Callithrix jacchus: one gene and its partners. The protein of the gene in region 2 binds, or shares a complex with, the protein of the main gene of each other region. Links are inferred from orthologs where the notes say so. Each region holds a gene or a part of one and is shown on either strand. Other genes may lie near its edges.

Region 1 (4,563 bases), on a different chromosome or scaffold from region 2:
TACGGATAGTAACACCATCTGATTATTTTTAAAAGATCACTCTCTAGGCTATATGCAGCATTGACTGTAGGATAAAACGTGGCCCAGGAAGATACATTAGAAAAAATTACAATCCATGTAGGAGATGGTGTTGGCAAGAACAAGGGTAGTGGCAGTAGAATAGAATTTGTTAAGTTTTTAAAGTAGAGTTGTTAAGACCTGTAAATGAACTGTATGTGAAGAGTGAAGGTAAAAAAATTTAAATAGGCACTCTGGGATTTTGGTTTGAGTAACTAATATGATGACCTTTACTGAGATGTTTAACACTGGAGGAGGGATATCTTTGGTAAGAAAAATCAAGATTTTCATCTTGAACTTTACGAGTGAAAAGGCTTTTTCTGCTTTTTTTTTTTCCCCTTCATTTAAAAGTTGCAAAGAATTTAGGGATAAGAAAGCATTTAAATTTTCAATTTTGTGAGCTCCTTACATTTTAAACTAAGTTGGGGACGTTGAATTTCCATTTAACAAGTATTTATTGAGTAACTACTATACGTCAAGGTCTACGTGATGATATACCAAGATGAACTAAGCATTCAAGACCTCTGTTCTCAGATTGACTTATTTTTTTATGGAAGGGAGGTGAGACGATTGGTGGGTTTTTTGGTTTTTGGGTTTTCTCCTTTTCGTTGTCTTATTAAAACTTAACACTTGAGTAGCCATCTTAATAACTACACTGTGCTTCTGGCAGTTGGGCCCACCGTTCTAAACGCTGTCGTAAATACTGACATCTCCCCTCCCACAAGAACTAACGTTTTTTAAATAAAAAAATTTTAGCAAACATTACGCATACAACCTTTGCTTTGAAGTGTAATATTTTTGCAGGAATGGTACCTTTATAAAGATCGTGGTTGCCCCGTACTTATTTGTTCTTTCTTCATATCCAATTAAATGAAAACACTAGTTTTTCCGAAGCCCAACTCTCTAGGCTTGTTGGTTCTAGCTCAGGATGGAAGCAGGAGTCGTTGGATTTAAACAGTTTGGTGTAATCCTTTTCCACGCTCTAACCCGCTAGCCGGGGACGTGGTGTCGGCTACCCGGGGCTTTCCGTCCACGCAGTACCGGAATGGAGTCTGGGAGGGGGTCGGGGACGGAAAAGACGGAAGAGACATTAAGTAATTGGTTCTTGAAGGTATAAAATGATGTTTAGGGTCTACTCTAAGGCACTGATTTCAAACGCCCGCCCCCTGGGCCGTTTAGGCCCCGCCCCTTATTGCCCTTACGCCAACTTCCACTTTGGCCTCTGCGGATTGGTTGTTATCTCCGCCTCAGAAGCGCTTGGGTTTTGCTTCCGGGTCATAGGCCTAGCCCTGAACGCAGAGGTTCCTGGGAGCCAAGCGTAGTAATGGCGTCTGTATGATATTCGGAGCCTGCTGCATCGGACCTCGGCCAATGTGAGTGACAGGAGGATAACAGATTATCTTCTTTATCCCGGTAGGACGGGAAAGGGCAGTTGGGATTGGAGTTGGTGGCAGAGTGCTGAGCGCGGGCGGCGGAGGCCCTGAAGCAGCTCGCTAGGGGCGGAACCGAGTGCCTGTCAGGCGCGTCCGGAGCTCTAGGCCTGCGGTTAAGATCGCAGCGTAAAGGCAGCTCGCCTACCGCTTAAAGCGAGCCTCAGGTCCACCCTTCACTACTCCTCGCATCCCTGTAGTGCTAGGCACGGGTGAAGAGGTAGCGAGTTTCTGGTTATAGCCAAAGACTAGCTCTCCGGAGGCCAGAGTGATAATTCTGTTGGCGTGTGGGAAGGCGCGGTGCCCCCAGAGCCAGATAATCCTGTTTCTTCTTTGAAGACATGCCTCTACCCTTTTCGGAAATCAAGAGAAATAGACCCCTGCCAAAAAAAAAAAAAACGAAAAAACAAATCCTCCCAATTCACCCACCCTCCCACACACTTTTCCGACACTTACAGCGTCTTAGTAACTAAATCTGTTAGACAGTATTCTTGTGATTGCGCCAAGCAGAAAATAAAGAATGTGTCCCTGGTTTTTGGTATTAGAATCCTCTGGGGCGAGGTTCTTGTTTTTTTGAACAGTCCTTAAATTATAACCCACAAGAGATCTGAGTTATAATATGATGCCTGTTGTAGAAGAAAATTGGATCAACAAAAGGTTGTTTAAGAATTTTTTTTCTATGTAACTGTCATTGAAGTTTAACACTTTTGCCTAGGGCACTTAATAACTTCGTCAGTGATTTTTTAAAAATTGTTTTTGGCTTTTGTTTCTGTTAGTCTATTTGCTATTGTGTGAAATTTAGATAAAATACAAACCTTAGAGAGTTTGGTGGAGTAAGGTTGAGCTGAGAATTTTTAAAACTCAGTCATGGCAGTACGGTATTTTATAAGGGTTTTGACATGTCAAGTGTCGTAATTCTTACAATAATCCTAGGAGGAATATCTCCATTCCGCTGATGACAGAAAGTTAAGCTAGGTGACTTCGTGAAGCCCACAGAGTCAGAAGAATAGGGATGCAAACTCAGATCTTCGTGACAGAATTTTTTGTACTAAGACATGTCTGGGAATCCATATTCCTTGTACTGCCTAAGCCTCATAATTTTTTTTCTTGAAAACTTTTGTTTAAGAAGATTAAGCAAGTTTTGGGGAATGAGTTTTAGAACTTATATCACCAGGATGGATATTGATTAATACTCTAAAATGAGAGTTCGTAATGTTGGAAATAACTTGATACTATTTTTCTTCAAAGCATAAAAGATGACAACTGCAGCCAGGCCAACCTTTGAACCTGCAAGGGGTGGAAGAGGAAAAGGAGAAGGTGATTTGAGCCAACTTTCAAAGCAGTATTCAAGCAGAGACCTACCTTCTCATACAAAGATAAAATACAGGTAATAAGACTTTTTTGTTGTCGTTCGCAAAACAAGACCAAATCTGTTAAATGACATGGTCATGATATAGTAGTATGTTTGAGTTATGTTACTTATTTATTTTCATAGACATAGAGTGCAACAGGATGTTTAACACTAAAATTTTGCTCTATGATTTTAAAATGCAAAATTCCTACTAACCAGGAATTTTCATATGTAGATAGAGCAATAAATAATATAAATAATAATGCCTCAGAGAGACTATGCACAATCAGCACCAGTCAATATATTAAAAATGTTACTGTTCTGAGTTGATATAATACTAATTACAGATATTTTAATCTGTGTAAAGCCGGCTGGGCGCAGTGGCTCACGCCTGTAATCCCAGCACTTTGGGAGGCCGAGGCGGGTGGATCACGAGGTCAAGAGATCGAGACCATCCTGGTCAACATGGTGAAACCCCGTCTATACTAAAAATACAAAAAATTAGCTGGGCATGGTGGTGTGTGCCTGTAATCCCAGCTACTCAGGAGGCTGAGGCAGGAGAATTGCCTGAACCCAGGAGGTGGAGGTTGCGGTGAGCCGAGATCGCGCCATTGCACTCCAGCCTGGGTAACAAGAGCGAAACTCCATCTCAAAAAAAAAAGAAAATCTGTATAAAGCCTTATCATGGGAAAATACTGAATTTGGATTTCTCGAAATATTGGGAACATCACAGGAGTGGCTGTTAGTAACCCTCAGATTAGCTTATGGTCTTGTCTATTTCCCTTTTTTATGCTTGAAGGACAAAGTCTCATTCTTGAATTGTCTTCCATTACTACAGTTGTGTGTGTGTGTAAGTAACATTTTTGCCCTGGCTCGTTTTTACTTTAGACAAACTACTCAGGATGCCCCTGAAGAGGTTCGTAACCGTGACTTCAGGAGAGAGTTGGAAGAAAGAGAGAGAGCTGCTGCAAGAGAGAAAAATAGGGATCGTCCAACCCGAGGTACCAACACTATCCCAGACATTTGTCTCATAAAATTATCTTTTTGATAGTTTTTCTTTCATGTAGCAACTGGAAAATGTTAACCATTTGTTTGCTTTTACACTTGATGTGAGTTATAATATTTAAGTCATTAGAGATGATAATAACAAATATTTACCAAAAGCATATTTGCCAGGCACTGTGGATATGATTTCTGTTGTCATAAATGCTTTTAATGTGGGCTCTTTGTACCCACAGGTCCCTAAAACATTGTAAGAAATGCAGTATTTGTTTTACTAAGTTAAATGATTTTTGTTTCCCCCAGAACATACAACCTCCTCTTCAGTGTCAAAAAAGCCACGGTTAGACCAGATTCCTGCTGCCAATCTTGATGCAGATGACCCTCTAACAGATGTATGTTTTGTTTCCTCCTTTCATCTCTATCTAATAATTGATTTACCATGTTTTTCTAAAATACTTGTTGTGCTTTTGGCTTTAAGAAGTGACCTATATTTATGTTTACTTACTATTATTCAGATATAGCCCCAACGTCAGTGCTAAACTGTATAGTTGATATTAAAACAAAAAGTATTATTTTGTGGTAAGGACCTTAAGATCAAGTTTGATCTCTAGAGAACCAAAAATGGAAGGAACTTATTAAAGGATATGCTTTCCCCCAAAATAATGCCCTGTACTAAACTACTGCACTGCTGCTGGATTTCATATCTCTACAGGGCACTCTTCA
Region 2 (3,955 bases):
TGTAAGCACTGTTCTCTTTACCTAAGTGGCCTCTAGATCCCCTCCATGAACACTGGCAACCTAGGCAGCGTATGTATCACTCTGTCCCCGGCAAAGGCAATCCCAGAAGACCAGGACAAATTGCAAGACATTCCACTGTTCTTGGAGGGACTGTTCCTGGGGACTCTGGAGAGGAGACACTCACAGAGCCAGCGGTCAGACACCACTCGGATGAAGTACTGAGGGGGCAGCGGTTCAAACACAGGCACGAAGAACGTGATGAGGTGCTCGTCCTGGGCATACTTGGCCTTGAGGAGAAAATATTCATGGTGCAGAATCACCTCGCTGTCCACATCCTCCACCAGAATCCAGAAAGCCTCTGATGATCCATGCACCTGCCAACAGGAGCACAGGTAAAAGGAATGTGAGACAACATAGACCGAGCACCTCCAGTCCAGCTCCTCTGCCACCAACATAGACTTGGTGCCTCCAATTCAGCTCCTCTGCCTTGCAAAGCCTCACCTTTTCATCCCACTGGAAGTCTGGCGTGATGGTCAGCTCTACCTTCAGGGTGGAGCGTGTGATTGGCTGCAGGTGAACCGACAACTCCAACTTGGGAAAAAGATGGACATATTTGTGGATGGTCTTCCCCATCTTCGGCATGCGGATAAGCTCCCCTATGGGGAAATAAGAGTACTGAGGCTGCAGCCCAGCCTGCCTACTATACTGCACACTGGGCCTGAGGGGACACTGTGGGAAAGGGATAGTCTTCCCTTTACTGTCAGTGGAGTGCAGGATTCCAAGTCCCCAGTCCAAGGGCCAGCCTGTACTTCAGTGGAACTTGAGAACTGAACACAGGATACTAATGCAGAAGGCCTAGGAACTCAAAGACTACAAACTGAACAAAGGATACTAATGCAGAAGGCCTAGAAACTGGAAGACTACGTAGGCCGACTGGGAAAGACCCCAGGCAGTGAGGACAAGGGCGAGAGCTTCCCACACACCGATCTCATTATGATTCAGGTCGTATAGACGCTCAAAGGGGAAATTCTTCTTCTCAATCTTCTTCACTACTTCCTCAGGGAGTTTCCGGAACTGGCGCAGAGGACACATGGACTGCCACCTATCCAGGAAAGAGGCAAAGCTGTTGGTCCCTTCTGCAGGGATGCAACAAACTGCCCACATCATGGCTCCAATAGTTCAGCAGTGACCACACAAGACAGTCATTAAAGGTGGACGTTGACACCGTGCCAGCCCTGGCCTCCACCTTTCTCATACTCCCCAGCCCTACCACAGAGGGCCTTACTTCTTCTCAATGTGCACCCAGGTTCAGGTCATATTTCAGATGTCAGGTCTGGAAATCAGATGCACCCTGAGGCTTTCCCAAAACACCCTTGGGTTGGGGACTCACTCATGGTGACCAACATCCAGCTCACTGGGCCCTTACATGCGTTTGTCGATCATCTTGCAGAGGTTCAGGGTCTTGTCTGTAAGCTGTGCCCAACCTCGGTTCAGGACAATTTCAAAGATTGCTCGCATTAACCGGCCAGCCGACTAGGAAAAGAAACAGCATTCCCACTGCTAAGTCTTGACTATCCCCAGGCCTCATTAGCCACTCTACACATGGTTTCATTACTCCAGCTCTGATGCAATGACCCACCCCAACTTGAAGGCAAATCCCCTCTGTTTTTACACCTTTCTCCCTTCCATATAGTAGATGCTTACCAAATGGGGAACAATTAGAAAAGTGCTGCTCAAGGTCACTGCACCACATTTTAACCTAACATTCACTGCATGATTTTAGAGCTTTTGACTCATTTAGCATTTAGAGTTCTACGAAGAGTTAAGGGTTACCAGTAACCTGTTCTTAGAGGTAAAGATGAAGAGCAGCTAATAAAACCCTGTGCCATTTCTGGAATTTATGAGTTCTGCAGCCACAATGGGAAATCACTTCTCTGTTGAGAAGGAGACACTGTGTCCCGTGGCTCTTCCTGTCTCTCTGAGGGCCTGTGGAGTCTCAAAGCATTCCCTCTTAAGGCCTTACCTTTCTCATGTGCTCAAGATGGGTACTACAGAGTGGCTGTACCACACATGCACCAACCAACCAACTACCAAGAACAGAACTAAGCATTCCTCCCATCTCACTAGGGTCAGGCCTCCTTTCCCCAGGATGCATACAGCACACAGGGATTGAACTGTTCAGGCCCCTTCTCACAGCTCCCATACAACTCTGCCCTCACCTGTGTGACATATACCATGTCGGCCATCAGTGCAAAGCCCTCCAATTTCAGCTGCGAGATGAAGGCTTGTAGAAGAACATTGATCTGGAAAGAAGCAAAATCATCCAGCAGGAGACCAATCACTGAACAGTACAAGAAAGGGAAGTACATTTCTGCTCTGAGCATTCATGCCAGGTGAGATCTTCTATAGCTCTTGACTTACAAATACTAAATAATTGTTATTTCATATAAAAAGAACATGTAAGAAAGCTGCAAAAACTAGGAGAACTGAGGAGGGTATCACACATGAACTCAAATTCGAGGTTCATCTTTTAGAAGATTATGAAAACTATATAATCTTCATCCTGATCAAAGCAAAAAGAGGAGCTCACCTTTGCGCTGGGTTCCTCGATGCTCTCCTTTACCGGGATAGGCACCCTCTCTAGCAACTTCTGCAGCTCTAGCTTCTCCTCCTGCCACAAGGAGGAAAACGTCAAGGGAAAGTCCAGAGGCCGAGGAGGGAAACCATTCAGTGACTTGGTGAGCACCAACTCCCCGCCCCCAACACGCTGCATAGGCTCACCTCTCTCACAGTGATGTTTTTGAACTCAGAGGACAATGAGAAGACTCTGAAAAGCTCAATCTCACTGAGGGTGGGCTTCAGCAGCTGGTTGTAGGTCTGCACTGTATCATTGGTGATGTAGTAGTGGCTGGCTATACGGCCCAGTTCTGTCACCTGGAGAGAAGGTAGACTCAATCCAGTACTGACTATTAATGAGCTCCAACCTCTAACTGTGGACCATAAGTTATTGTCCTATAGGTTTTTTGTGCAGTTTTTTTGTAAAGTATGTAACTCAATGTCCTGTAAGTTATTGACCTTACAGGACAATTAGATGAATTCACAGCAGTACAAATGCCAGGCCCAGGCACATGAAAAAAAATGGCACAATAAGCTGACCCATAGTGTCTGCACAGACAAGACAGCTAAATTATCCACCCCAAGTTATGGGGAAAGCTACCCATTTTTCCGCTGTTCTAGGCAACAAGCGATTAGATAGGCAGTACTCACTTCTATCTAAGAGCAATCTGACATATTTTCTCCTGGGTTGACTTTTGCCGAGACCTTTGCCTCAAAACCCTCACCCACCACACACCTGGAAGTTGCCTGTCTTCTTGTCATACTTGACCAGATTGTTCTTGTCCAGCATCAGAGCAGCCGTGTGAACCAAATCTAGTCGGCGCTGGTCCAGTAGGGGATCTCCCTTGAGGTCATCATGAGAGATGCCATAGAGGGTTGGGGATCGCAGCATTCGGATATACAGGTAGGCATAGCCTAGCCAGTTCACTGCATCCTACAAGACACAGTTCATGGTTCTTAGCATGGAGAAACTCTTGATGTCCAAATGAAAGGCTTCCATTAATTGCTTAGAAATTACTTCCCAACTACAAGGATGCATATTATATCATGTTCTGAATGGTTTTAACATTTCATTACTAAAAAGATCTAAGCGTCTTCTAAGTTGTTAGCAATAAGGGAAACTATCTGCCAGACCCAAGATGTGGGTGCAAGGATGGAGGGCTTTGGATGCTGCTGGCCCATAGCACAATAGGGACCGACCCACTCCTGGTGCCTTGGTGTCTGCAGGGAAGGCACAAAGTGCCTTGGGCAGAGCCCTCCCCTACCTTGGCATTCTGGACATTCCCCAGCACAATTTCTGCGTTGAGCATGTCAGGAAGCTTTGAAACCATCTGGCTTT
Region 3 (4,488 bases), on a different chromosome or scaffold from region 2:
TCCCCCTTTCTTTCTTTCTTTCTTTCTTTCTTTCTTTCTTTCTTTCTCTCTTCTCTTCTCCTCTCTCTCTCTCTCTCTCTCTCTTTTTTTTCTTTCGAGTGTTACTCTGTCACGCAGGCTGGAGTGCAGTGGCATGATCTCAGCTCACTGCAACCTCCAACTCCTGGGTTCAAGCAATTCTCCTCTCTCACCCTCCCGACAGGTTCAGGCAATTCTCCTGTCTCACCCTCCTGAGTAGTTGGGACTACAGGTGCCCACCACCATGCCTGGCTAATTTTCTGTATTTTTAGTAGAGACAGGGTTTCATCATGTTAGCCAGGATGGTCTCGATCTCCTGACCTTGTGATCTACCCGCCTCAGCCTCCCAAAGTGCTGGGATTACAGGCAAGAGCCACCACACCCAGCCCCCACCATTTTTTTTTTTAAGACGGAGTCTCACTCTGTCACCCAGGCTGGAGTGAAGTGGCATGATCTCGGCTCACTGCAACCTCTGCCTCCCAGGTTCAAGCGATTCTCCTGTCTCAGCCTCCCGAGTAGCTGGGGATTACAGGCACACGTCACACACCCAGCTAATTTTTTATATTTTTGGTAGAGATGGGGTTTCACCATGTTGGCCAGTCTGGTCTTGAACTCCTGACCTCAAGTGATCCACCTGCCTCGGCCTCCCAAAGTGCTGGGATAACAGGCATGAGCCACTGTGCCTGGCCAAAATTCTCCTTTTCTTGAAACACTAAGTAACATCTCCGGAATACCAGTGTTCCTTAGAATACACATTGGAGAACTTTTTTTTTTGAGACGGAGTTTAGCTCTTGTTACCCAGGCTGGAGTGCAATGGCGCGATCTCGGCTCACCGCAACCTCCGCCTCCTGGGTTCAGGCAATTCTCCTGCCTCAGCCTCCTGAGTAGCTGGGATTACAGGCACACGCCACCATGCCCAGCTAACTTTTTGTATTTTTAGTAGAGACCGGGTTTCACCATGTTGACCATGATGGTCTCGATCTCTTGACCTCATGATCCACCCGCCTCGGCCTCCCAAAGTGCTGGGATTACAGGCTTGAGCCACGCGCCTGGCCTCACATTGGAGAACTTTTAGAGCCATCTTTCTCCTTCTGAGCCTTCCGACCTCTGGCTTTCCCCTCCCATACCTGTACTTCCGGCGGCAGCAACTGTTATAGTCGGGGGCTCTGTGCAGAGCACTCTGGGTGATAAGTCGTGTCTGGGTTAGCAGAGGAGCCTGATAAGGAGATGGGAGACAGAGTCAGAGGCTTCAGCCCTCTTCCCTTCCAGCCTGGTGTGTGCAGCAGGGTCTTGACTAGAATACACTCTCCATTCTGATTACCTCAGCTTTGGTTTCTTCCCTTCTCAATTCATTCTGATGTCTTGGATTCTGCTTCCTCTCCTTTCCTGGCTGCTTCTTGCCATAGAAAAGCTGCAAGCCTGAGGAGAAAGGGAAACAAGACTAAAAGCATAGCACCAAGAGCGGTGTGCAGAAATTTCGAGGGTTTATTCCCCATACCCTGTCTTTCCCCAAACTTACTGGATAGATGTTTCTTGCCTGCTCGGTGGGCAGTCAGCATAGCCAGGGTGTCCAGTACTGGTCGATGGGGGCAGATGGCACAAGCAAAACTGAGCAGGGGGAGAGAAGAGGATAATTGGTCCAGGGGAAGAGGGTGGGGCCAGTCCCTACAGTAAGTCCCACCCTGTCCTAGCAGTCCTTTCCAAAGCCCAACTCCAGGTCATCCAATCCCCACTTCTTCCGATCCTCACTTCCGGCCAAGGAATCCTAGATACTCCTGCTGTCCTGATTAATAACAAAAGTTTGGGGCCGGGCGCCGTGGCTCATGCTTATAATCCCAGCCCTTTGGGAGGCCGAGGCGGGTGGATCACGAGGTCAAGAGTTCGAGACCATCCTGGTCAACATGGTGAAACCCCGTCTCTACTAAAAATACAAAAAAATTAGCTGGGCATGGTGGCACGTGCCTGTAATCCCAGCTACTCAGGAGGCTGAGGCAGGAGAATTGGCTGAACCCAGGAGGCGGAGGTTGCGGTGAGCCGAGATTGCGCCATTGCACTCCAGCCTGGGTAACAAGAGCGAAACTCCGTCTCAAAAGAAAAAAAAAATTAGCTGGGCATGATGGTGCGTGCCTGTAGTCCCAGCTACTCGGGAGGCTGAGGCAGGAGAATTGCTTGAACCCAGAAGGCGGAGGTTGCGGTGAGCCGAGTTCGTGCCATTGCACTCCAGTCTGGGTAACAACAGCGAAACTCCGTCTCAATCAATCAATCAATCAATCAATAAAGTTTGTTGAAGCCGGGCATGGTCGCGCCCGCCTGTAATCCCAGCTACTCGCGACGCTGAGGAAGCAAGATCACTTGAGCCCTAGAGTTTGAGGACAGCCTGGGCAACACAGAGAGACCTCTATCTTTTGTTTGTTGAGCCTCTAACCATAGAACCCTCAGGCTTGGGCCACTCCTCGCTCTTACCGTCCATCCCGAAGCATCAGCGCCTCATCCTCTGGGATGTAACTGGCTAGCAGATCCCCGACTCTTCTTTTCTGCAGGGAGAAGGGGAAAAAATCCGGACGGCATCAGCAGATAGGAGAAACGGATGGAAGTGAAATGAGAGAAATGAGGAGTCAAATGGAATAAGGACCCTGGGGAGAATAGTGATCATAGACCGAAAAAGGTGTCACTACCCAGCTCTAAGTCGCCTCTTTCTCTCCCGCACCCCCGAGCTGTTGCCAGTGCAACAAAACAAAGCTCCTTCCCAACCTTCAGAGAGCGACTGAAGCTGCCCTGGATCCTCTCTGCTCACGCTTACTTTGAGAACATTGAGTTGACTCCAATCGTCTCCTTCCCTCTTGAAAGACATCACGACTGTGAGTCCCAGAAATGATAAATTCTCTTGTTCCGGTTTCTCAACTCCTCCAGGCCACCGTAGCAAGAGTGGGACAACTCTTTCTCTGTTTTCAGTCTCTTCCTGTCGGCCTCCGTACTTCCGGGGATGCGCTTCCACACAGGCTTTGCGCGTCCGGAAATCTACTCGCTGGTGCACGGAGGGAACTGCATTTCCTATGGTGCCCTGCGACACTGCAGACGCCGAGCCTTTTGGGAAATGAAGTCTTTTCTCAAAGAGCTTGCCGCTCTGCTGGATCCAGGCCCTCGCATCCTGGCGGATCTGCGGCATTTGGAGGGACAAGAAGCTAGATGTGGAGCCGAAATGTGAGGGTGTGACCTCTCTGATGAGTGGAAGGTGTACTACAGACTCTCGCAATCTTCGCGCTCTTCATCTGCGGCGACAGTTCACCTGGGGTGGGCTGATTTGTTTCTGACCCTAGCGGACGAACCCCGGGACCGGGCAGACCCGGGATGCGAGAGCCCCCAGAGGCCAGGCTACCGGACTTGGGGGCAAACTGAGGAAAGACTGTTGAGGATTATTTCTAGAGGTCAAAGGTCAGAGGTCAATGTAGCGAGGAGTTGTGGGGGGTTCACAGTCGGTGGGGTGCTTAGGGGAGAGATTCAGGGAGGGACTGAATACTCAAGGGACAGATTTGTGGATAACAAGCTTGGAGAGAGGAGAAACCGGGAGGGGGCAGGTGGCGTAGTGCCGGGGAGGCGGGGACACAGGGGAAGAGAGAAGGGGAAAGGAATCCCTTGAATATCCATTCCCAGACTTAAGGCCTGTCACCCTTAGTCTCGGCCGGGCCTTCCCCAGTTGCAACCCTACCTGTCGTTAGGGTGAAGAGATGGCTTCCCCGTCTAGACAGCCCCCCCCAGGGGGGTCAGGACTTCTTCAAGGGAGCCGGGCTCGTTCATATGGAAGCCTCGTGCAATCGGCCTGCTCCCCAGTGAGGGAGAGACGCCTGGAGCATCACTTGGAGCCTGGAGACACCCTGGCTGGACTAGCACTCAAATATGGGGTGACGGTGAGTTTTCCAGGATTGGGGTGCAGACAACAGTCAGGAGGGATTTAGTCCTGAGAAGAATGTAGTGGCCTTTCTAGGTAAACTCCTCTGAAAAGTTCCTAAAGTGTTACACCTGTTCTGCCTTTATCTTTGTTTTCCCATCACAGTGTTGCACTGCCGGGTTGGGACAAGTCCTGTCCTACTATTCCAATGGAGAGGAACAGCTCCAATTTTACTATGCCAGACACTGTGCTGGGGGCTTCACATACATTAGCTCATGTCACCCTCACACCCTATCAAGTACATTTATTGTTTCCTTTTGGCAGATGAAGAAACTGAGACTTGGATTGGTTAACCAGTTTGACTAAGGTCAAATAATGAGTGTCAGATTTGGGATTCAAACAGGTCTATCTGACGCTATTAACCACACAGAAACATTTTCTTTTCATTTCTTTTTTTTTTTTGAGGCGGAGTTTCGCTCTGTTGTCCAGGCTGGAGTGCAATGGCGGATCTTGGCTCACTGCAATCTCTGCCTCCCAGGTTCAATAATTCTCAGCCTCAGCCTCCCGAGAAGCTGGGATTACAT
Region 4 (3,955 bases), on a different chromosome or scaffold from region 2:
TCCACTTCCTTCTTGCCAAATTTTGTCACTAAAGCAGACCTGTCCAACTGGTGTGTCATAGCATGTACACCTAAATATTAATACACTCAGCTCTCAGGGCAGCCAGGTGAGGCCTGGGCAATTGTACCAGCAGCCTCATCACTTTACCCCAGGGCATCATATAAATATCTTCCTGTTCTACATGGTCCACAAAATGAAAAAGACTAGGAAACACTACTACCTCAAAGCACAAGCATCAGGGAAGACTGTGAGATTTAGATGCACAATTAACTACCCTTGATCTGTAACATAAGTTTACAGTGAAACATGCCCTAGGAAGGTCTGGCAACTAGAAGGAATTCTTGATATCTAGCTTAATGCTACAACTGCTTTCCCGACACAGTCATTAGGAGGCAAAGCCAGACCAACAGTTTGGCGAGAGGAAGGAATAGAGAAAAGGAAACTTTCTTTTTTCTTAAGCCCTCACACCTTGCTCTAGCCACACCACACTGGAACAGTAGGCTCACACTGATTATTGCGCTATGAATCACAACTCTACAGGTGAACAACAATAAAAAATTAACCCCTCTGATCAGGTTCAGTGGCACTTTGGGAGGCCGAGGAGGGTGGATCACTTGAGGTCAGGAGTTCAAGACCAGCCTGCCCAAATTGGTGAAGCCCTGTCTCTACTAAAAACACAAAAAATTAGCTGGGCATGGTGGTGCGTGCCTGTAATCTCAGCTACTCCAGAGGCTGAGGCAGGAGAATTGCCTGAACCCAGGAGGCGGAGGTTGTGGTGAGCCGAGATCGCGCCATTGCACTCCAGCCTGGGTAACAAGAGAGAAACTTCGTCTCAAAAAAAAAAAAAAAAAAGAAAAAGAAAGGTAAAAAACAGAGGCCTGGAGGGGAGGCAGGCCTGGTACCTATGCTCCTGGGGAGACAATTTGTTAACAGATGGGAAAAAGAAGCAAGTCCTGCAGGGCCACAAGTCAACAGAATTATTTCCTGGAATCTCTTTTTGACCAGTGTCTCCACACCTCTGCAGCCCCTGCAACACACCAAGCTGACGAGTGCTGCCCCGGTGTCCATGGCAACCAGGTAGAAAACGAAACCCCTATACAAGGGGAAAAAATGTCCAACCAACCTGCTTAGTAAGTACACTCACCTTGATCCCATTAAAATTGTCAACGGCCAGAATTGTGCTCCTCTGGTCTTCATAGCAGAGAAAACAAAATCCTTTGGACTTCCCAGTCTTCTTGTCCCGCACGAGATTAATGTTAACAATCTCCCCATATCTATTTATTTTATAAAAGAGTAAGACACTATTGACTTAAAAGGCAAAAACATGCAGATAAGGTAATAAAACAAAATTCAAATAATACAGTATGTACAAGAGATACATCTAGAACGAGATGATACAGAAAGGTCATGACAAAGAAAAAGTCAGACAAGAACAGGAGTACCCAATTAAAAAACAGGCACTAATATCAAGAGCAAAGGCTAATTCAAGGCCACAATAAAAAATGAAACTAAGAAGATTATTTTACACTGAAAAAGGCCTAAATACAAAACAAAGGTATAAGTCAGGAAAACTTTAGGTCAATTAAGAAATCAAAATTTTTAATTAAAAAAGCTATCAGAAATGCAAAGAAAAACTAATAGCAAAAGTTATGGAAGAATTTAACAAATCACTTTGAAGTTTATCATGCACAAAGTGGACAGAAATAAGATCAGATTAATTAATATACATAATTACTATAACAATTATACAAACAAATATTAATGTAATTAGATACATAGATATCTTTGAATCCTACAAGATGACAGTTTCAAGAATTCATGAAGATTGTACTAAAATAGACTATGGATTAGGTCTCAATGTAAACCTCAATAATTATACTCCAAAAAACAGACAGACCTAAAGCTGGAAATGATATTTTAAATAAAAAACACCTTACCTAACTAGAACTTGAAAGCTACTCTCTTAATAACTGGATGAAAGAGAAGATGAAGCAAAATATTTTTTTTAAAATGGCAGACTATTTAGAAAATAGCAAAAATGAGAAGAATATATACCAAAACTTATGAAATGTACCTAACATCATAGGAAAATTTGTAACTTTAAAATAATTTTATTGTGAACAAAAAGGATGAATATAAAGGAAGAAAGCAACCCTAATGAAAGCAGATGGGAGCTAATAAAGATAAAGGCAGAAATTTGGCTAGGCATGGTGGCTCATGCCTGTAATCCCAGAACTTTGGGAGACCAAGATGGGAGGATTGTTTGAGGCCAGCAATTTGAGACCAGCCTGAGCAACAGAACAAGACCCTGTCTCTAAAAAAAAAAAAAAACCAAATAGATAAAAAGGCAGAATTAAATAGAAAAAAAAAAGGCCAGGCATGGTGGCTCACACCTATAATATGTAATACCAGCACTTTGGGAGGCAGGAGTATTGTTTGAGGCCAGTAGTTCAAGACAGACTGGGCAACAGAACAAGATCCTATTTCCAAAAAAAACAAGCAAACAAAAAAAGATCAGGCATAGTGGCTCACACATGTAATACCAGCACTTAGGGAGGCCAAGGCCAGAGGATCACTTGATGCCAGGAGTTTGAGACAAGCTGGACAATACAGCAAGACCCCTGTTTCTACAAAATAATAAGTTTTTTAATTAGCCAGGCATGGTAGTGTTCACTTGTAGTCCCAGCCACTCAGGAGGGTGAATGGGGAGAATCACTTGAGCCCAGGAGTTCAAGGCTGCAGTGAGCTAGGATCATGCCACTACACTGTGACCTGAGCGAGAGAGTGGGACTCTGTCTCAAAAAAGAAAAAACATTAGGAATAAAAGACTACCTTACTCCTTGCAGCAAGATAAATTCCAGATAAGTTAGAGGTTTATAAATTTAAAAATAAAGTCATAAAAATAAAACGGGAATTGACAGGTATGTTACATAATCACATACATACACTTCAGCCCAAAATCTAGCAATCTACTTAATGAGAAATACTAGAGCTGATTCAAGTAAGTTTAGAAACTATTTAATACTAAAATGAAGGTATAGGCCAATGCAATTAGGTAAAACAGATATAAGAAATGAAAAAAAGGAAGTAAAATTATCCTTTTGTAGATTACATATGATAGTATACATGGAAAACCCAGAGAATCCATGATAAACAATGATTAAAAACAGAGCGTAACAATTCAGTAAAGCAACAAGATATAAAGTTAAAAATCAATCACTCTGTTATACAGAAACAATAATCAGAAGAAATGATAAAAGGGAAATCGTATTTATCATAGCAAAAAAAGACAAAGTACTTAGAAATATACTTATCAACAAAAAATGTACAAAGCCCATATAAAGAAAACTATTTTAAAATTCCCAAAAGTCACAAACATAGATTTGAACAAATATGAAGGTATCCCTTGTTCTTGGACAGGATGACTCACTATCATAAGGTATCAAAATCTTCTCCCGAGTTAATGTAAATTTAATATAATTCCAATAACAATACCAGTTTGGTTTCTTTCCTGAAAGCTGAATAAGTTAATTCTAAAATTCTTATGGAAAAAAGAACATGTAAAAATAGCTGGGAAAACTCTTAATGAGAACAATGAGGGGGAGTAACTCTTATCAGATATCAGACAGACTGAAATTACTAGTGTGGTATTGGAAAATTAATAGACCAATAGAATAAAAGCTAAGAAAGAGACTCAAGTATACATGAAAACAAATAGTATATGATAAGGGTGACATACCAATTTGCTGGGGAAAATATGGACTCAAAAAACTTTTTTTTGCAGAGATAGTTCTCACTATGTTGCCCAGGCTGGTCTTGAACTCCTGGCCTCAAGTGATCCTCCCCCCTAGCCCTCCCAAAGTGTGTGGATTACAGCCACTCTTGAGCTTGGACTTTAAAAAACGGTGTTAGGACAACTAGATAGCCACTTGAAAAAAAAGAAAACTGGCTCTAA
Region 5 (3,955 bases), on a different chromosome or scaffold from region 2:
GAAAGAAGGCCAGGGCCTTCTGGGGGAGAATTTCCTCAGTGATAAGGAGGGACTTGTTGGGGCAAGTGTTTAGGGAACCCTACTCTCCCTCTCCACAGGCCTCGGGATGTCTCTAGCAGATGAGCTCTTAGCTGATCTCGAAGAGGCAGCAGAAGAGGAGGAAGGAGGAAGCTATGGGGAGGAGGAAGAGGAGCCAGCGATCGAGGATGTGCAGGAGGAGACACAGCTGGATCTTTCCGGGGATTCGGTCAAGACCATCGCCAAGCTATGGGACAGTAAGATGGTAAGAGGACAAGAGGCATGGATAGCAGGGGGCTCTAAACAATCTCCCAGAAAGAGGCGATACAGGCTTCTTTTTGAAGAGTCCTGGATTCCGACTCTCCTCCTTCCCTGCAGTTTGCTGAGATCATGATGAAGATTGAGGAGTATATCAGCAAGCAAGCCAAAGCTTCCGAAGGTACTTCCTCCCCCTTCGTGCCCCTCCCCATCTCCTGACTCTTCTGCCAGGCCCCTTGGCTCCTTTGCTGCTTGTGGCTGGGTATATCTCCCTCTCAGAGTTTTCCAGAGCCTTCTCTTTTTTTTTATTCCTCCCCAACCCATTCCCTTTTCCAGTAAACATAAATTGCTTCGTACAGCGCATCTTCTTAAGTCCTCACTGTGTCCTGAGTTTGCTAATCACGATGGGACTTAGCTTGAGTTTTCCCAGACTCCCAGATTCACATGACCAGTTACAGGGTTTTGGCCACATCTAGAAGCCACTTGTCCTTTAATTGCTTAACATATTCTTTGAGTCTAGGTCTTTTTTCTTAAATTTGATCTACAAAGGAAGCAAACTGCTGCCATGAATGGGAAACTGGCATCACTTGGTAAAGACGAAGTCACCATGTGAAAATAAATACGTGATTATTAGAGCATCATCTAAAAGCTTTTCTCACTTCCACATTTCGGGAACACTGGCTTATCTCTTGAGTAGTCAGACTGTCTTAGAGGGCAGTTCTGTTACCACTCCCATTCTCTCTCTTTTTTATTTTTTCCTTTCGACAGAGTCTCACTCTCTCGCCCAGGCTGGAGTGCAGTGGTATGATCTTGGCTCATTGCAACCTCCACCTCCCAGGTTCAAGCGATTCTCCTGCCTCCGCCTCCCGAGTAGCTGGGATTACAGGCATGCAACACCATGTCTGGCTATTTTGTATTTTTTTTAGTAGAGACGGGGTGTTTCACCATGTTGGTCAGGCTGGTCTTGAACCTCTGACCTCAAGTGACCAGCCCACCTCGGCCTCCCAAAGTGCCAGGATTACAGGCATGAGCCACTGCTCCTGGCCTTCCCATTCATCTTGAATGAAATTTCCTGACAACAGGAAGCCATGGGAGGTTGCTGGGCAAAGACGTGTGTGAGAAAGCCGAGTTTCAGGAGACCCACTGCCTGCTGTCTTTAATGTTTACCTGGGCACCCAGTGGAAACCCCCAGGTCTGTGCTCTAATGTGCTCAAGGTCTGGTGGAAGAGGCAGGCCAAGTTCCAGACAGCTGTCAGTGGGTGATACCAAGCTGGGGCCACTGGAGCCACAGGAGGGACTGGCTGACCCTGCCCCAGGGGTCAGGGAAGAATTGATGGCTGAACTGGACTCTAGAGCATGAATGCATACGCCAGGGGAAGAAAGGGAGGAAGGGGCCTGGGAAAGAAAAGGGGGCCGGGAAAGAAAGCGGCACGCCCAGGGCCTCAGATACTAGGAGTGAGAGGGCGGGCTCAGGAATGTGCCAGATCCTGCAGGGTTCCAGATGCCAGGCCGGGGAACTTCTCCATCCAGAGAGTTATGGGACACAGAAGGTGACATTTCCTGATGTCAGGCCAGGAGCAGGGATGAGTCAGATCCCGTCATACACGGTGTCTGGTTGGAGAGGTAGTCATGAAACATCTCACAAGCAGGTGGCAGTTCCTGTTTATTGGAGGCACAAGTGCTGCAGGTACCCAGAGAAGGCATCTGATCCTTCCGGAAAGGGAGGGAACGGTTCTGAGTCGCTGCCTGAGTCTTAAGCACCACAAGAGCCATTTGAGCATCAGGGTTAGGAGCACAGACTCTGCAGCCACCCTGCCTGGGGTCAGATTTGAGCTCTGTGACATCAGGCAGTGAGTGTATGACATTTAAACACAGCATCACTTTTTGTTTGTTTTTTGAGACAGGGTCTCACTCTGACACTAGGTGAGAATGCAGTGGCATGAACGCAGCTCACTGCAGCCCTGACCTTCTGGGTTCTGGGTTCCGGCGTTCCTGCCTCAGCCTCCCAGATAGCTAGGACCACAGGCATACACCACCATGCCTGGCTCATTTTTTTTCTTTAATTATCTGTAGAGATGGGATCCCCTGTGTCGCCCAGTTTGCTCTGAAACACCTGGGCTCAAGCAGTTCTCCAGCCTGCGCCTCCCAAAGTGCTGGGATTACAGGTGTGAGCCACTGTGCCTGGCCCCTTATAACCAAAGCACAAAGGGTTTTCTGGAAACAGACGTGGGGAGACGGAACAGCATATGCAGAGGCCAGGAGGGGCCAGATGCAGTGGGTCACCCCTGTAACCCCACCACTGTGGGGGGCCCAGGCGGGCGGATCACCTGAGGTTGGGAGTTCGAGACCAACCTGGCCAACATGGTGAAACCCCATCTCTACTAAAAATACCCCAAAAAATTTAGCTGGGCATGGTGGCACATGCCTGTAATTCCACCTACTGAGGAGGCCCAGGCAGAATTGCTTGAACCTGGGAGGCGGAAGTTGCAGTGAGCCGAGATGGTGCTCTGTAGCCTGGGCAACAAGAGCGAAACTCCGAGAAAAAAAAAAAGGCCAGGAGGAGTGGGTGTCCAGGGCACTGCAATCAGTCCTTTGTGGCTGGAGTGGAATACAATGGGGTATGATGAGAGGGAGGGGTGGGAAGTGTAGAAGCTAGACCGCAGAGTTGCTGAGTCAGCAGACAGGAACTGGACAGCTCCCTGTATGCCAGGTGCTCTTCTGGGTACTCGGGTGTGGGTGTAGACCATGCAGGCACAGCACTGGTCCCTGCAGAACTTCCGGTGTTGGGGACACCATGACTATCAGTCTGGGAAGCTTGGTCATGAGTGTCATGAGCCTTAGGGCTGTGGGAAGCCATAGGAGGTTCAATTCCAGGGTAGAGGGGTCAAGTCTAGACTGGTCTGGAGGGAGAGAGATGGGAGGCAGGGACACAAGATCAGGGACTCTGCAGACATCAGCCTGTCCCCCGGTTTACTCTTCAGCCCCCCCCTTCCTGACCCCCTCGAAACCTTGTCCTCCATCTCCCCCAGCTTTGGGACCCAGGATAGGGTAGGGATTTAGATCCTCACACTCCGCTCTGTGTCCTCACAGTGATGGGGCCAGTGGAGGCAGCCCCTGAATACCGCGTCATTGTGGATGCCAACAACCTGACCGTGGAGATCGAAAACGAGCTGAGTGAGTGCTGGGGGGAGGCGGACGCAGCTCCGTGTGACACCCTCATGCCCATCTCCCTTCCCCACTGGCCTTTCCCAGGGTCCTGCCCCTGAGCCCATGCTCAAATCCAGGTCCACCTGCTGTAACAGTGGTTTGAAGAAGAAGGAAGTTTGTTCTCCTCTTATGTGTGAGTCTGAGCGAGCACTTGGGGGTGGTGTGGCCCCAGCTCTTTCCATCTTGTTGTTCAGCCACTGGTTCACGGTGCAAGGTGGCTGTCCCACCTCCAGCCATCACCTCTGCATTTCCACCAGCAAGGCGCTTCTTATTCTTAAGAACGTGTCACCACAGCTCAGCTCACATCTTACAGAGCAGAACAAATTCCCGTGGTCATACGTAAAGGAAGAAGGGGAAATGGGTGTTAGGGCAACCAGCAGACTCTACCTCCTGTCTTACCCAAGACCGCCTGTCCTGTCCACCCTAGACATCATCCATAAGTTCATCCGGGATAAGTACTCGAAGAGATTCC
Region 6 (4,755 bases), on a different chromosome or scaffold from region 2:
GGCAAATTCTGTACCCACCCAGGCACGTTGAGGGCACTCGCTGGACACCTGCCACTGAGCCACAAGCCCTGGAGGAGACCTGGGGTTTCCACTTCTTGCTGCCACCTGGGTGATCTGCTGGTGAGGGATGCAGGTGCCAGCCACCCTCGAGTGGCCTGGCGGTGAGGCTGGAAGCAGCCAAGCGGGACCCCTCGTAGCCGACAGGGGTGAGCAGGGCCCAGATATACACGAAGCCTGAGGAAGTCCCAAAACCTTTATTGTCCCCACCAGGTAGCCAATGCTTCCAGCCCACCCCAGGAGCCTCAGCCAGGTCTGTTGGGAGGATGACACCCAGGGCCACCGGTGCCACCTACAGGCAGCATGCAGGCTCCCTCCCACTCTAGCTGCCCCTTGGCCAGACCTCCTGGGAAGGCAGCAGGACGGCAGTGGCCAGTGTGGTCAGGCGGCCCCGTCTCCCTCTGAGACCTCAGCGCCTGGGCCCTTGGAGCTGCTGCCCTTGTTCCGGAAGTGGTCTCGACTCCGCTTCCTGCTACTGTGGAAGCCAACCGTCTCCACCAGTGGGAGGCCTGGCATAGGCCCACCGTGGACAGGCCCTGTCGGTGCCTCCACCTCCTGCAGGCCCCCGTGGGGGCTGCCCCACTCCTCAGCCTCTGGGCTACCGGGCCTGGCCAGATGGGCCAGCTCCACTGGGCCCTCGCCCCTATCTGGGGCACGGATCCCAAGGCTGCCCCTGCCTGGCTCTCCCACTTTACCCAGAACCCTCTTCCTCTCGTGTCTGGCCTCAACCCCTCGGGCTGGTTTGGTGAAGACGACCCTCCCTTCCCCACAGCTGGAGGGGTCCTGGTTGAAGGAGGGCACGCAGTCAGTAGGGGCAGCCACGCTCTGGGAGCCCAGGAAGGCCAGGGCGGTGGCCTGATTGCTCTGCTCGCTGACCTCGGTCACATCTTCCAGGCTGTACTTGGTCCAGCGCTCGGGGTGTGCCACGTAGTCGGGGACTGGAGGCGCCTTGGGGGAGGCTGGGCTCCAATGGGCCCTGCCCAGCCCTTCCACTGGAGGCTGGCCTGAGGGTGCCAGGGGCCGCTTGAAGCCTCCATTGTCACTTCTGCTGCTGTGGGCCACAGGGGGTGGGGCCCGCCTGGCTGCCCCCTCCAGGAAGTCAAAGATGTCACGGCTGCGCTGGGAGAAGGTGGAGCTCATGCCTCTCAAATGGAACGGCTGCACCGCAGATGGGAGGAGGAGGCCTGAGGGGGGTGAGGGCGGCTCATCGGGGCCTGAATCCTCCTCCCCAGGCAGCCCCCCTGGGGACAGCGCTTCTACTTCAGCATCGCCAGGCAAGCTGAGGTCAGAGTCCGAGTCACTGAGGGAGACCGTGTCGGAAGGCAGCGTGTCATACTCCGTCTCATGCTCCCCCTCCACGCTGGGGGACGGCTCCTCTGTCCCTGCCTCAGCCATGCGTTCCCAGGACCACGTCACACCTAGACCAAAACAGCCCAGGAGATTCGTTTCAGGAACAGTGTTAAGAATGAGTCTCCTGCAGATCAACCGCCCCTGGACAAGGAGGGTCAGCCGGCAGACCTGTCCCACACAGGGTGGAGGCCCCTCTCCCCCTCCCAGCCCTCCTCTCACCTCCCTTGGCTGCTGACACTGGAGTGTGGCTGCACAGCCAGGTGGGCGGAACCTTGATGAAGGTCCTCAGTGGCACAGGTATGGTTGTCTCAGGCCTCGGAGTGCCCCTGGCATGCGTCTGTTCAGCTGCTCGACTGCAGGTGGGAGGGGTGGGGGAGAGGACCATCCTCAGACCGGAGCGCAAATGTGTGAAAGAGGTGGGAGGCAGGACCGACCTGAGCCCGGGTTTTGGAGTCCCTGACAGGCCAGAACCCAGGGTAGGGACTTCTGAGTCGTGACTTAATTTAATCGCGTCAACCCTCTGCAGGCAGGCTTGGAACTACGAAGCGATTCTGGTAGTAAGCAGCCGCCCAGGGCTGGAACCCAGGGCCGAGATCAGGCAGGAGAGCTACTTATAAGCTGCTTGCTGTTGGGGGGTGAGCAAGAGCAGGCACCTTCCTGGTCATCGGGGAAAAGGTTTGCTCCTATCTGCTGGGAGAGCCCCGGGAGCTCCCAAGACATCTGCAGCCAAGGCCCTGGCATCGCACAAAGTGGGGTGTCAGCCCATCAATCACCTCGAGCAGCCCTCACAGGCAGAGGCAAAGCCGCGTAGCTCCTGGAGCGACCTCTAGTGGCCTTCCCCGTGTAACACTCAACACACACACCGCCTTTCCAGCGGGGCAGCCAAGCGGCCTCCCGCACCCATTTAGTGGTGGAGTGACTGGGTGCCTCGGAGCTGGCATTGCCAGTGGAGAGGACGGCCCGGCCTCACCCTTCTGCACTGCCCTCATCCATCCACTGACTCCTTGCCCGCCAGGGTGACATGTGTCCCGTGCTCCCAACAAGGATGGGGTCAGGGGTACCAGAAGGGGCTCCTAGTGCCCCCCACCAGGTCAAACAGAGGCAGCACTTCAATTCCTCTGCGGCGTGACTCTCCTCCGTGAAGAAGCCACCCCGTAAATGAAAGGGGCTACCCGGAACCCCCCACTGATGTCCGTTTTAGAGCCGGCAGGGACGGAGGCTGAAGGAAACCGTCCCTTTGCCCACATGAAGGCAGGGCCTGGCCTTTCTCCTCTCTATGCGCCAGCAAGACCTCCCCGCCAGGGAACAAACTCTCTGTGCCAAGTCGGCTCTCGGTGCGAAGTCGGGCTGGACACTCACGAGGATGCTGTGGGTCCCAAGGGCTCGGCCGCGGGGTACGGGGGTCGGTGAGCACAGCGGGGCTTCAGCTGCGCTCGGTGACCTCCCGGAGGCTCACCCGGCTCACGCGGCCCGTCGTTCCTCAACACAAACCTACCAGCTCAAGGCGGCACGGCCGTCTCCATCTTGGTCGGCTCCGCCCGCCCATGCAACGCGCTCAGCCCTCTGGGAAACCGAGTGTTCATCCGGCCGAGCGCCGCGGCTTCCACGCCCGCAAAACTACACCTCCCACAAGGCACTGGGCCGCCGCTCCCGACGCCTGTCGGGACGTGTAGTCTTGTGCGCATGCGTCCGCCTCTCTACTCCAGGACACCGCGGCCCTGGCGTCCGGCTCGGAAACAGCCCCGGAACCGCGGCATTTGTTGGCGAAACAAGACCGGAACTGACCAAGGAGAACAGGAAAAGGAGGGGCCACGCCTGCAATTCCCAGAATGCTCGAGGGCTAACCGACCGCCGCGCCGGCTTTCCGTGGTCCCAGCGCCACCTGCTGGAAACCGTGAGAACAGCGGCCGCCTCAGGCAGGAAGTGCGTCATTTCATAGGGAGGGCGAATGCCGTTCGGACACTTCCGGTCATGACCGGAAGCGGCAGCTGTAGCTCTTCCGGGGCTTCGGAGCACTGAGGCGGGGCTCCCCAGGATCCCACGGTCCCGCTCAGGGCGGACGCAAAGGCGGTCCCAGCCCGAGATGAGGACGCGGAGTCTTGACCTGTGGGCCACGGGTGAAGGGGGCGGCCCTGCTGGATCCTCTGGCTGGGCCGACGCTTTCCCACCCCTAGGGGTTGGCTGGGCCCTGGAGGCAAACTTGTGGGGCGTCGCCCTTGGGGACGCTGCCGGGCCGCCCGCGCAGCCCTGGGCCCTCAGCTCTGGCACATTGGTCCGGCCTCCGAGGGCGCTGCAGGGAAGCCAGGGCCAGGCCCTTCCAGGTCCCCGGTCCCCCGTCCTCCCGGGCGGGGTGGAGGCCGCTGAACGCTCCTCAAGCGTGGCTGGGTGGGCGGCAGCCGGAGCGGTGTGGCCTCCGCCATGCCTGGGAGCCGGCAGCCTGGCCTCGCCTGTCCACGGTGCCCGCCCTGAAAGGGAGAGCGAGGGCCCAGGTTCTCCCCCCGACAAGCCGCGTGTCCCTGGGCCACGGGCCCTGGTTGGTTGGCGCCCTGTGCCCCGCACACTGCGGGGAGCTGAGTTCCCCTCGGCGGCTACACCGCTGGGCCGTGTCAAGGCTGGAGACAACTCCCTTCCCAGGGCCTGCTGTCCTGGCATCCGCCGGGAAACAGGACTCAAGGACCTGCTGCGGCCTTTGGGATGTCATTCCCCGCCCACGGAGGACACAGCGGGAAGTGGAGAGGGGGCTCCTTGCACCGTCCTGTGCTCCCAAGCAGTGCAGCCTTGGAATTTGGGAGCAGCAGGAGAGGGCCTGCTGAGAGACTCCGTAACCCCCCAAAATGCAGGGCCGGGGGCAGTTTCCAAATTGGCTTGCAGAGAGGCTGCTGGGAGCCCTAGACATAAATTCCCAGTCACTCCTTTCCTCCAGGGGTCAATGTGCCAGCAGCTTCATCTCCCCAACTAGGGAAAAGCAGCCGGAGCGACAGCAAGCACCACCCCAGGGTCCACGGTGTGAGGGAAGATAGGAGAGCCTAGACCAAGCCCATTGGCTTGGAGGAGCTCGGACAGGGAAGGGGTGCGGGGCAGTGCAGGGGATGCTTGGCCCCAGAGCCTGTCCACCCACCCACTGCTCACTGGTGGGCTGGGTGGGCTCCCGAGGAGGCCGAGGTCTTTCTTCCCCTCCAGCACCTCTGAGATGTGCCTCAGGCCCTGAACCACCAGCTCCTCAAAGGAACACTTAACACAGGCCCTAGATGAGCAGGGCAAAGATCCTCAAATGCTCGGGAGGGGGCAGTGTGTCCATCCTTTACCGTCCCTGAGGACGAAGAGGAGTCCTGCAGCCCACCCAGCCCC
Region 7 (3,539 bases), on a different chromosome or scaffold from region 2:
AGACCTAGTACTTCAGATTCCACAGCATCTAGTCAAGAGTCAGATTTTTTTTTTTTGAGACAGAGTGTAACTCTGTCCCTTGGGCTGGAATGCAGTGGCATGATCTGGACTCACTGCGACCTCTACCTCCCGGGTTCAAGCAATTGTCTTGCCTCAGCTTCCTGAGTAGCTGTGATTATAGGCGTTTAACACCACACTTGGCTAATTTTTTGTATTTTCATACTTTATTTAATAGAGACAGGGTTTCCCCTTGTTGGCCAGGCTGGTCTTGAACTCCTGGCCTCAAGTGATCCACCCACCTCAGCCTCCCAAACTGCTGGAGTTACTGGCATGTGCCACTGTGCCTAAGCTCATAGTTTTTATATCCCAAGAGTGAGCTCATAATCAAATGAGTCCTTTAACTTGTCCTGTACCCTGGGCAGGAAAGCAAGGCTGAAAAATGAAATGGTTCCCACCTCAGTCAACTCAGTTCCCACCTTAACTCGCAGCTCATGATACCACTTATGATTACATCTTTCTTTTTTTTCTGAGATGGAGTTTCGCTCTTGTTACCCAGGCTGGAGTGCAATGGCGCGATCTCGGCTCACCACAACCTCCACCTCCTGGGTTCAGGCAATTCTTGTGCCTCAGCCTGATGAGTAGCTGGGATTACAGGCAAGTGCCACCATGCCCGGCTAATTTTTGTATTTTGAGGAGAGACGGGGTTTCACCACGTTGACCAGGATGGTCTTGATCTGTCCACCTCGTGATCCACCCGTCTCGGCCTCCCAAAGTGCTGGGATTACAGGCTTGAGCCACCGCACCCGGCCTATGATTACATCTTTTTTTTTTGTTTTGTTTTTTAAACTCTCATGTAATGTTTATTTCACAAACATGAACTTGGAAGATTTTATAAGACAGCATCCCAGTCATTTACATGAAAATAGAAAAACCAGCTTGAGTTTAAGATAACAAATCTTTCTGTAAAACTAGCAAATCTTTCACCCAGACTTTAGTTTTAAAATTTGCCCTCTGAGCAGTGCTAGAGACATCTTTTTTTCTTTTTGAGACGGAGTTTCACTCTTGTTACCCAGGCTGGAGGGCAATGGCGCGATCTCAGCTCACCGCAACCTCCGCCTCCTGGGTTCAGGCAATTCTCCTGCCTTAGCCTCCTGAGTAGCTGGCATTACAGGCACGCGCCACCGTGCCCAGCTAATTTTTTGTATTTTTAGTAGAGATGGGGTTTCATCATGTTGACCGGGATGGTCTCGATTTCTTGACCTCGTGATCCACCCGCCTCGGCCTCCCAAAGTGCTGGGATTACAGGCGTGAGCCACCGTGCCTAGCCTGCTACATCTTTCTATTAAGTGTCCGAAATGGTTTTTATTATACCCTAAATTCTGGTAAATATTGGGTTTGTTTCTAGCTTCCCTACTGGTTCATCCATCCATGTCCCTTGTCCTTGTCCCAGAACTGCACTAGAAGTAGAGGATGGAACAATGATCTTCCCACCTTCTTGAAGGCAACTTCCTCATACTGTACAGAACTGGTAACAGCCTAGGGGATGGGAGGAGTCCCATGGGTCAGTCTTCATCTGTGTCACTAGGGCCCGTGTACTGGCAGACAGCATCGTAGTGAAGCTCCACCACCTGATTCTCTCTTGGCAGTTGCACCAAAGCCCGGCTCCGTGCTCTGTCCCGGCTCAGCAAATGTCCCACCTGGAACAGAGGTGAAGTGAAATCAGCAAGGCCAGCCTAGACCCTGCTACAGGCTGTGAATGACCCACAAACCTCCACTGCCAGGTTTGAGACTCACCCTTCCAGCCTGTGGGCCCAGCACCACCATCACACGGTCGCCCTCTGCCTTGGGAACCAGTGTCTCCAGCATGTCTTCCCTCAGGCCTACAGGTAAGGGAGAGGGGAGTGAGGCCCACAGCAAGGACCAGCCCAACCGGGGTCCTGTCAGAAGGGCCCTTCCTGGCCAGGTGTGGTGGCTCACACCTCTAGACCCAGCACTTTGGGAGGCTGAGGTGGGAGGATCTCTTGAGCCCAGGAGCTTGAGACCAATCTGGGCAAGATGGTCAGACCTTGTCTCTACAAAAAAAAAAAAAAAAAAAAATTTTTTTTTTGAGTCGGAGTTTTACTCTTGTTGCCCAGGCTAGAATGCAATGGCGCAATCTAGGCTCACTGCAACCTCCGCCTCCTGGGTTCAAATGATTCTCCTGCCTCAGCCTCCCAAGTACCTGGGATTACAGGTGCCTACTACCACACCCAGCTAATTTTGTATTTTTAGTAGAGACAGGGTTTTGAGCTGTTGGTCAGGCTGGTCTCAAATCCATGACCTCAGGTGATCCACCCACTTTGGCCTCCCAGCATGCTGGGATTACAGGCATGAGCCACTTCACCCAGCCTACAAAAAATTTTAAAATTAGCCAGGCATGGTAGTATATGCCTGAGTCCTAGCTACTCAGGAGGCTGAGGTGGGAGGATGGTTTGAAACCAGGAATTCGAGGTGGCAGTATCCATGATCGTGCCACTGCACTCCAGCCTAGGTGATAAAGCAAGACCCCATTTCAAAAAAAAAAAAAAGAAGGGCCTTTCCTGTATTCTCTGGAGCCACTCTATGCCCTGTTGACAGATAGAGTCCCACCACATCCATTTCACAGATGAGGAAGCCTAAGGAGTAGTTTATAAAAATCACTATAATAAAGGGAGGATGTCCATGTGGTGGTAGTGATAAGAACAGCCATCGTTTATTGCTGGCATGTTCTAAGCCCTGCCCTGCACTGAGAGCTCAATACACATCCCTTCACCAAGGTACCAATCACAAGAGGAAGAAAGTAATTTCCATGCTAATTTGATAGATGGAGGCCAGGCGCAGTGGCTTGTAATCCCAGCACTTTGGAGGCCAAGGCGGGAGGATCACTTGAGGTCAGGAATTCAAGACCAGCATGGTCAACATGGTGAAACCCCATCTCTACTAAAAATACAAACATTAGCCAGGTGTGGTGGCGCTTGCCTGTAGTCCCAGCTACTCAGGAGGCTGAGGCAGGATTATCGCTTGAAACCAGGAGGCAGAGGTTGCAGTGAGTCAAGATCATGCCACTGCACTCCAGCCTGGGCAACAGAGCAAGACTGTGCCTCAAAAAAAAAAAAAAAGAAAGAAAGAAAGAAAAAGAAAACTTGGCAGACCGGGAGTGTGGGGCTCAAGATAACTACCATAATGGAAGTGTCCAATGTTCTGTAAGAGGATGCTAGGCCTTGCAAAATACCTGAACTCTGCCCAACCTCCCAGCTTTGCCTGGGCCAGGCTCTGGGCCTAAGACACTCTTCTTGATCAACCTCCAGGATGATCATGCTCCAGCTGCAATCACTCAAACTCACCTTCCAGGACTCGGCCTTCATCTGTCTGACATACACAGGTATCTGGGCTTAGGACATCTTCAATTATCATCTGGGGATACAGGTCAGGGGGATGTGAGATTTTTAGAGAGCTAAGGGGGCCCAGTCCCTGGGGGAGGGAGGGGACTCAGGCTGTAGGGTTCCCACCTTGGTGTTATA

Evidence for each region.
Region 1: SNRNP200 (region 2) and CWC15 share a complex: the UniProt entries of both Homo sapiens proteins name them as parts of the minor spliceosome. The link is inferred for Callithrix jacchus from reciprocal best matches to the Homo sapiens genes SNRNP200 and CWC15.
Region 3: SNRNP200 (region 2) and SCNM1 share a complex: the UniProt entries of both Homo sapiens proteins name them as parts of the minor spliceosome. The link is inferred for Callithrix jacchus from reciprocal best matches to the Homo sapiens genes SNRNP200 and SCNM1.
Region 4: SNRNP200 (region 2) and RBMX2 share a complex: the UniProt entries of both Homo sapiens proteins name them as parts of the minor spliceosome. The link is inferred for Callithrix jacchus from reciprocal best matches to the Homo sapiens genes SNRNP200 and RBMX2.
Region 5: SNRNP200 (region 2) and PRPF31 share a complex: the UniProt entries of both Homo sapiens proteins name them as parts of the U4/U6-U5 tri-snRNP complex. The link is inferred for Callithrix jacchus from reciprocal best matches to the Homo sapiens genes SNRNP200 and PRPF31.
Region 6: the proteins of SNRNP200 (region 2) and TSSC4 are in contact, whole or in part, in a cryo-EM structure (PDB 7PX3), measured with the Homo sapiens proteins. The link is inferred for Callithrix jacchus from reciprocal best matches to the Homo sapiens genes SNRNP200 and TSSC4. Residues at the interface, in NP_054733.2 of Homo sapiens: Arg1438, Arg1475, His1502, Lys1748, Gln1749, Val1752, Asp1753, Thr1756, Trp1757, Tyr1761, Arg1762, His1778, Leu1781, Ser1782, Asp1783, Leu1785, Ser1786, Glu1787, Val1789, Glu1790, Gln1791, Glu1807, Met1808, Asn1814, Met1817, Ile1818, Tyr1821, Tyr1822, Asp1928, Ser1931; in NP_001284587.1 of Homo sapiens: Val198, Ser199, Ser200, Phe201, Asn202, Gln203, Asp204, Pro205, Gly211, Arg212, Val213, Ile214, Phe215, Thr216, Lys217, Pro218, Arg220, Gly253, Pro254, Val255, Glu256, Leu257, Ala258, His259, Leu260, Ala261, Gly262, Gly303, Phe304, His305.
Region 7: SNRNP200 (region 2) and GPKOW share a complex: the UniProt entries of both Homo sapiens proteins name them as parts of the minor spliceosome. The link is inferred for Callithrix jacchus from reciprocal best matches to the Homo sapiens genes SNRNP200 and GPKOW.

What each region holds. Positions count from the first base shown.
Region 1 is NC_133511.1:45,351,475-45,356,037, forward strand, and holds the start of CWC15 (spliceosome-associated protein CWC15 homolog), read left to right. Parts: upstream 1-1,362; 5' UTR 1,363-1,470; intron 1,471-2,735; 5' UTR 2,736-2,743; coding exon 2,744-2,874; intron 2,875-3,726; coding exon 3,727-3,839; intron 3,840-4,143; coding exon 4,144-4,232; intron 4,233-4,563. UniProt on the Homo sapiens protein: Involved in pre-mRNA splicing as component of the spliceosome. Component of the PRP19-CDC5L complex that forms an integral part of the spliceosome and is required for activating pre-mRNA splicing.
Region 2 is NC_133515.1:6,132,057-6,136,011, forward strand, and holds part of SNRNP200 (U5 small nuclear ribonucleoprotein 200 kDa helicase), read right to left. Parts: coding exon 3,882-3,955; intron 3,551-3,881; coding exon 3,353-3,550; intron 2,935-3,352; coding exon 2,782-2,934; intron 2,672-2,781; coding exon 2,591-2,671; intron 2,304-2,590; coding exon 2,220-2,303; intron 1,534-2,219; coding exon 1,427-1,533; intron 1,103-1,426; coding exon 984-1,102; intron 657-983; coding exon 502-656; intron 375-501; coding exon 185-374; intron 1-184. UniProt on the Homo sapiens protein: Catalyzes the ATP-dependent unwinding of U4/U6 RNA duplices, an essential step in the assembly of a catalytically active spliceosome. Plays a role in pre-mRNA splicing as a core component of precatalytic, catalytic and postcatalytic spliceosomal complexes.
Region 3 is NC_133519.1:11,058,686-11,063,173, reverse strand, and holds the start of SCNM1 (sodium channel modifier 1), read right to left. Parts: upstream 2,932-4,488; 5' UTR 2,870-2,931; coding exon 2,819-2,869; intron 2,553-2,818; coding exon 2,482-2,552; intron 1,627-2,481; coding exon 1,538-1,626; intron 1,438-1,537; coding exon 1,340-1,437; intron 1,235-1,339; coding exon 1,146-1,234; intron 1-1,145. Other genes in the region: LYSMD1 (lysM and putative peptidoglycan-binding domain-containing protein 1), read left to right, coding at 3,744-3,923. UniProt on the Homo sapiens protein: As a component of the minor spliceosome, involved in the splicing of U12-type introns in pre-mRNAs. Plays a role in the regulation of primary cilia length and Hedgehog signaling.
Region 4 is NC_133524.1:126,051,007-126,054,961, reverse strand, and holds part of RBMX2 (RNA-binding motif protein, X-linked 2), read right to left. Parts: intron 1,275-3,955; coding exon 1,145-1,274; intron 1-1,144. UniProt on the Homo sapiens protein: Involved in pre-mRNA splicing as component of the activated spliceosome. As a component of the minor spliceosome, involved in the splicing of U12-type introns in pre-mRNAs.
Region 5 is NC_133523.1:47,297,572-47,301,526, forward strand, and holds part of PRPF31 (U4/U6 small nuclear ribonucleoprotein Prp31), read left to right. Parts: intron 1-98; 5' UTR 99-106; coding exon 107-283; intron 284-396; coding exon 397-457; intron 458-3,366; coding exon 3,367-3,450; intron 3,451-3,910; coding exon 3,911-3,955. UniProt on the Homo sapiens protein: Involved in pre-mRNA splicing as component of the spliceosome. Required for the assembly of the U4/U5/U6 tri-snRNP complex, one of the building blocks of the spliceosome.
Region 6 is NC_133511.1:129,467,805-129,472,559, forward strand, and holds TSSC4 (U5 small nuclear ribonucleoprotein TSSC4), read right to left. Parts: upstream 2,952-4,755; 5' UTR 2,767-2,951; exon of another isoform or gene 1,761-2,766; 5' UTR 1,627-1,760; exon of another isoform or gene 1,476-1,626; 5' UTR 1,453-1,475; coding exon 439-1,452; 3' UTR 240-438; downstream 1-239. UniProt on the Homo sapiens protein: Protein associated with the U5 snRNP, during its maturation and its post-splicing recycling and which is required for spliceosomal tri-snRNP complex assembly in the nucleus.
Region 7 is NC_133524.1:49,662,500-49,666,038, forward strand, and holds the end of GPKOW (G-patch domain and KOW motifs-containing protein), read right to left. Parts: coding exon 3,528-3,539; intron 3,433-3,527; coding exon 3,363-3,432; intron 1,881-3,362; coding exon 1,795-1,880; intron 1,698-1,794; coding exon 1,563-1,697; 3' UTR 875-1,562; downstream 1-874. UniProt on the Homo sapiens protein: RNA-binding protein involved in pre-mRNA splicing. As a component of the minor spliceosome, involved in the splicing of U12-type introns in pre-mRNAs.